Linked DNA regions of Sus scrofa. The protein of the gene in region 1 purifies or fractionates together with the protein of each later gene. This does not show direct contact. Links are inferred from orthologs where the notes say so. Each region holds a gene or a part of one and is shown on either strand. Other genes may lie near its edges.

Evidence for each region. The genes of interacting proteins can lie anywhere in the genome.
Region 2: the proteins of TTC1 (region 1) and VAPA purify together in Homo sapiens (affinity purification with mass spectrometry; 5 studies listed by BioGRID and IntAct, counting the BioPlex papers as one, with this or other methods). This does not show direct contact. The link is inferred for Sus scrofa from reciprocal best matches to the Homo sapiens genes TTC1 and VAPA.

What each region holds. Positions count from the first base shown.
Region 1 is NC_010458.4:63,457,782-63,460,764, reverse strand, and holds the end of TTC1 (tetratricopeptide repeat protein 1), read left to right. Parts: intron 1-1,783; coding exon 1,784-1,917; 3' UTR 1,918-2,409; downstream 2,410-2,983.
Region 2 is NC_010448.4:98,216,263-98,219,914, forward strand, and holds part of VAPA (vesicle-associated membrane protein-associated protein A), read right to left. Parts: intron 154-3,652; coding exon 1-153. UniProt on the Homo sapiens protein: Endoplasmic reticulum (ER)-anchored protein that mediates the formation of contact sites between the ER and endosomes via interaction with FFAT motif-containing proteins such as STARD3 or WDR44.

The sequences.
Region 1 (2,983 bases):
GGACTTTCAGTCATTCCTCCACGCAGGAGGTGGCCCGTGGCTTGGTCGATAGTCCAGAGTGGCCCTGGGAAGGGCTCCTCCTGAGACATGTGGCATGAGATGCCTCACTTCACTCATTCCATGTCAGAAGAGCCAAGAATTGTAGCAGCAGTGACATTTTATTGGGCTTCTTTAAATGTTTGTTGCCTCCCTGTTCTCTCTCCCCAACCCCAGCACAGACAGACTGCCAGAGCTCTGGCTAACTCATGTTATCCTGGGGAGGCCCTGTCTTTTATTGGCTTATTGTGATCCCCTATTCATGCATCCATCTGCCCACAGCTGGGCTCTCGGCCTCTCTGTTCTGCCACCTGTGTGCAAGGACGAGGCCTGTGCCAGTGATTCTCCTTAATCAGCAGCACTAAGCATGTGTGTTACAGTTTTAAGTTTGGGAAGCCTGCCTGGAGAGTGGTCAGTCTGGGTTTTAGGAGCCTTCTCAGAATATGATGAGCTTCTGGGGGCAAAATTTTCCATATGCTGCAGGGGCAGCCCTAAAAAGACAAAAAAAAAAAAAAAAATTCAAAATACTCCTAGTTTCAAATATTCCATCCTATTGCCCCACAAATCTCTATAAATCTCTCAGATATCCTGGAAACTTTGTTTTGCTCTTTAGGGCTGCCCGCACAGCATATGGAGTTCCCATGCTAGGGGTCAAATCAGAGGTACAGCTGCTGGCCTACACCACAGCCACAGCAATGCTAGATCGGAACCACATCTATGACCTACACCACAGCTCACAGCAATGTTGGATCCTTAACTCATTGAGTGAGGCCAGGGATCGAACCTGCGTCCTAATGGATGCTAGTCAGATTTGTTTCCGCTGAGTCACAATGGGAACTTCTCCATGGCCCTCTTGTATGTAGAATCAGCATAAAAATACATGGTTACATTACATGTCTTAAATTTGGCATTATGACATGAACTCTCCTGGTGATGAGTAAGTAAAGCTTGAAACTCCAGGGCAGGAGAACTGGACTGTTGAGGTTGATGATGCTGTGCAAGTGAACAAGATCTCCCGTTTCCCCACAAATGTTTTGTGTGGAAGCTAAGGCTTTACTTAGAGCTAGCAGCTCTTTTTTTTTTTTTTTTTTTTTTTCTTTCCTTTTCTAGGGCCGCTCCCGCAGCATATGGAGGTTCCCAGGCTAGGGGTCCAATCGGAGCTGCAGCCACCGGCCTACACCACAGCCACAGCAACGCTGGATCCTTAACCCACGGCGCAAGGCCAGGGATGGAACCCGCACCCTCATGGTTCCTAGTGGGATTCCTTAACCACTGCGCCACGATGGGAACGCCCCAGAGCTAGCAGCTCTTGAGTTTGAACCCAGGTTTAGTAGCAACCTGGAGAGTAGAATTAGATTCAGCAAGCTGCTCTGCTGTTTCATAGAGCCTTGGGGGGACCCCTGCCCTCCCCGCCAAGCAGCCATGGGAGCAGGCCACCGCTCACCCCAGAGCCTGTGTCCTCCAAGTGGCTCTGGTCAGTCTGAATGGGAAGCTTCGCTCTCCAGCCAGGCTCCCTCACATTCATCTGCATAGGCAAGCAGTGGCTCAGGGCTGGATGGCTCTGAAGTGACTGTACTGCTCAGGCACCCTGGGAGCTGCAGCTTTCGTAATTTTAAAAGAGGGATTTCTCTAACTGCGGAGAGATACTCTTTCTGCTTTCTAATCAGATAAGTGAGGCAAGATCAGTTGGTGTCGTCCTGCTTCTGCTGATTCTCTGTATTTATTGGACTTTGCTTTTACATTGCAGGTAAACTAAAAGATCTTGGGAACTTGGTTCTCCGGCCTTTTGGACTCTCCACAGAAAATTTCCAGATCAAACAGGATTCCTCTACTGGCTCCTACTCCATCAATTTTGTTCAAAATCCAAATAATAACAGATAACAAAGATAACAATAGCTTTTAAAGCTGGTTTGGAAATTGCGTGCTGCTTGCTGTTAGCAAGGGAAAAGGCCTTGCCCATGTTTAACTTTCAAAAGCATCTTATCTCAAAGACAGGCTATCTACTAGAGCCCAGTGCGCCCTCTCCCCCTTGTTTTATGATCAGGGTGAAATGCACTTCCTGATGCAATGAGCCTAATTTGATTTCCGTTTTAAGGTAGTGTCTGTGCAGCTCTTGCCCTGGTTCTGGCTGTCCCTCATTGTGTCCAGGAGAAAGCCTGCTTGTCAAGGCTTACCTCCCGAAGTGCCACAGAGATAAGCCTAGCCAGAGTCATTTGGGCCGAGCAAACCTGCCGGTCGGAGACTAACCCAGCCAGGATTGATGGCATTCCCACCTGCTGCCCCCAATCCCCCATCACACATGCCACCCAGGCTGCTGTGTGTGGGCTCAAGCGTCCCCTGAGTTCCTCTGTGGTAATAAATGCTTCTGTGATGGTCTGAGCCGGGTTGTGAATTTTGTCCTTGTGATGACAGCTAAAGCAGGTTTTCCGGCTTTAGGAGCAGCATTGGTTTTGAGCACTTACTTGTTACTGGATTGCAGGAATCTGCCCAGAGCCTTAGTTCCCACCTTGAAGATGATCTTGAAGAGTTAACCATTCTACCAAATGCCAGAATTCAGAAACTCCCACCTTATAAGCTGCCTGTCTCTAGGTTTGTGCAGATTATTATGAAATCATTGCTTTCAACCAAGCATCAATCTTAGTAATTTCAGCTTAAAATAGCTTCATTTGGGAATGGTAGTATGTGAATCCCAGAACAAAACCGTATTCTTCTAGACTCCATGAACCCAGAAGTGTCAAAGATAGCCTTTTTTACCCCTAGTTGTTGATGCTGATAATAAGCTTTCGATTGTTACAGTTTTTCTTTTTTTTCTGAAATTTTTTTGTCTTTTTAGGGCCACACCCAGGCCATATGGAGTTTCACAGGCTAGCGGTCAAATTGGAGCTATAGCTGTGGGCCTATGCCACAGCCACAGTAATGCTGGATCCGAGCCACGTCTACGACCACA
Region 2 (3,652 bases), on another chromosome or scaffold:
CGACAGCTTCACCATCTCTCCCTGGAGCCGCTTGCACTCCTCCACCAGCTTCCTGGTGTCCGCATCGCTGAGGGAAACACTGTGCGGCTTTGGCACCGGCCCATCCTGCTTGGCGGCGTTCAGGGGCGCAGCTTTGCTGGGCTCCATGTCGTTCTGCATCACAAAGACAGTGGATCGGAGTTCTTTTAAAGGACTCAATCTTCTCACAGGTTTTAAACAAAAATTTAAACTCCACATCCTTCTCCAAAAAATTATTTAAATGAAAAGTCTTCCCAATTTTCAATTTCACTATTAGGAAGTTTTTAAAATACCAAATGTTTAGTCATCTGTCCACCTTCAGGACTAAGTTAGTGAGTGTTGGCAGGCGGTCAGGGAGGTCGGCAGGAGCAGCACACTCCCTCCTGTGCGCCCATGGCCCTGAGCACTCACTCCACCACAGAGCAATAGTGGACCCGGAGTGTCCTCCCTACCAAACCTCAAAGGCAGGGAGACAAGAGTCAGCTCTCTGTACACTGACCCCTAAATCCAGCACTTGGGCCAACAGCAGTTACTCCGTAAGTACAAAAAGCGCCACCAACCAAAATCCAAACATGAAGTTCATTGTCAGTGCTCTGACTCTGCACTTCCAAGGAGGCTCTGGAGCAAAAGGGGAGTTCACTGCAATCCTTCCAATAAAATGAGACTATCCAAAAAGAACATTTCAAAGGAAACCTAACTTCTACCAATGGAAAAAAAAAAAAAAGCTGAAGGATAGAAACACTGAAGGGGAAAATAATGAAGACAAAGATGTGTCATGGGAACAAAAGGCGAAAGTCAGTTTCATGACGTTAAGGACACACGACCATAACTGAGAACACGCCTGCTTATGAATTCAACACGGAAATCACACTGGTATTCAAGCACTTTTAAAATTGTGAGCCCCAGGGGTTCCCCTTGTGGCTCAGCGGTAATGAACCTGACTAGTACCCATGAGAATGCAGGTTCGATCCCTGGCCCTGCTTAGTGGGTTAAGGATCCAGTGTTGCCATGAGGTGTGGTGTAGGTCACAGGTTCGGCTTAGATCTGGTGTCACTGCTGCTATGGCGTAAGCCAGCAGCTGTAGCTCCATTTGGATCCCTAGCCTGGGAACTTCCATATGCTGCAGGTGCAGCCTAAAAAGACACACACACAAAAATCTGTAAGCCCCCAATCTTCAGTCCTGCCAGAACTCACATGCATGACACCAGTGGCAAAGGCTCAGAGACACACACAGAGGTCAGGGTCCTGAGCCTGTGGCCTCAGCGCCCTTTCCCCAGAATCATCCACACCATCACACACACCCTACCCAAATGCATGCACCAAGTCTCATCCTTAACTTTTCAGATGGAAGGGTAGAAACATCTAACAAAAACCATTTCCAAAATCAACTATAGCATTCCACAGCACTCACCAGTCTAACTGTAGGTTACACACCTGCCACAGCACCCAGCTCCTGACTTTATATTAAGTATATACTGTTTGTTCAAGGGACAAAACTACTATTTCTTATGAAGAGAATGTGATTTGATCACTGCTGTCTAAATTCATGTAAAAATTACTAGTATTATAATGAAGTTCCGGTCAACATTCTGAGTTTTCATTTTCTTCGGAAGCTTCCCAGCTGTGACGAGTTTTTAGGAAGTCTGCTTCAATGTTCTCTGTCTTCTTCTCCCGTCTTTCCTGTTGTCCGCTCTAACCTCCCGTCGTCCTCACTGATCCCATCACTATTATTAAAAATTCTGTTTTAGATATATTTTGCTCTCTACCAACTCAGAACATGAGTACCCATGAGAGTGGGTGGGCTTCAGAAAACAAGAATTGTGCAAATGGAGCAAACCTTGCTCTAAAGATGAAGGCAAACAGGCAACAGCAGGGCAACCGAGCAATCTTCAGGTCTGGGCAAAAATACCACAGAAAGTTAACTAAAAAATTAAGAGGAGGGTACAAGAGGCCAACCAGAGGGGAAAAAATTAAAACGAGGAATCCTCAAACTCTTCACGACTGGCTTTCAATTTTTAAACAAATTCTTAAAACTCCAGAAAATTGAGGATTTTGAAAGAGAGAGGAACTCACCACCCTCTCATCAACCCAACATAACCATTATTTATATATTATCTTCCAATATTTTCTCATATGCATGGGGTTTTTGTTTTTGCTTTTGTTTTTTTTTGCTGTTTAGAGCCGCACCTGCAGCTTATGTGAGTTCCCAGGCCAGGGGTGGAATCGGACTCAATGAGCGAGGCCAGGAATTGAATCTGCATCCTCGTGGATACTAGTCAGAGTCGCTGCCACTGTGCCACAATGGTAACTCCCTCATATGCATAGCTTCTAAAATCAGCATACATGTAATGCTTTTATCATTCATGTATGCAAACTTATTTTAATTATTTTATTTTTATTTTTAGGGCCACAGGAGCAGGCCAGGGGTCAAATGGGAGCTGCAGCTGCCTGCCTACACCACAGCCACAGCAACGCCATATCTGTACCATGTCTGCAACCTACACCACAGCTCAGGGCAATGCTGGATCCTCAACCCACTGAGCAGGGCCAGGGATCAAACCCACATCCTCATGGATATTAGTCGGGTTTGTTAACACTGAGCCACAATGAGAACTCCTTAACTATTACTTTAAATGACATGATGTCATTAAATATTCTATCCTGTGCCTTATCAAAATGACTTAAACACCTCACTCCTGTTAGTTGATGGGTAGCTTCCCACTCTTTGGGATTTTAAATAACATTAATCAATATCTTCTCATGGTGGCAGAATTAGATTTTTCTTTTTATTGAAATGTTTCTCAATGTTATTATGTTGCTTTTATAAGGAAAAGGAGAAGAAACCAATTTGAGTGTCATAACCAATTTGTGGAGCATAAATGTGGGAAGACTGGAATGCAAAAGATACAGTGAAGCTTAAACACATTTCAAAAATGAGCCAAATAAGTCATGGAAAAGTTACACTGAGTGTACTTATATCATGGACTCAGTGTCATTCAGGCCCCTACAAACCAGTCAACATAAAGACTAGATGCAAAGAAGTCTAATTTATTTACAGATTAATTTATTTAAAGTAGAAGCACACATAACCTAACCAGGATGGGGGGTGGGAGGGTTGAGGGGGTGGGGGGACGAGCCATTTGAGTAGCAACAATCTGAAGAGCCTGATGGAAACACTAAGGCTGCTGAGACTAAACTACACTCGTCCATCCAGGAGCGCCACAGGGAGGTTTGGCTCCAGGAAAACAGCGTGTTCGGTGAGAGGTGCTTCAGACTGGTCCAGAATGAGGAGACTGGTTGTTCTGAGAACCATGAAACAAGCAAACTGGAGGGACTCGACATGCTGTGACTTAGGCAATGATGAAGAGCAACATGACATTAACACAGTATCTAAAACTGCAACTAGAAGAAACTGAAGATCAAGGTCGTAAAAAAAATGATTATTTTGTACAATTTCCGCTATTCTATATTATTTAGCCTATCTGCAATAATCCCCCTCCATCTATGAGTTGAACTTACTTCTCTGTTTTTTTTTTTTTTCCCAGCCATCTCCAGAATTTCAGTTCCAATATTCTAAGTTATTCCTTTTGGAGATAACTAGAATATGCAAGGGCTTAGGGACTAGACAGAAAGG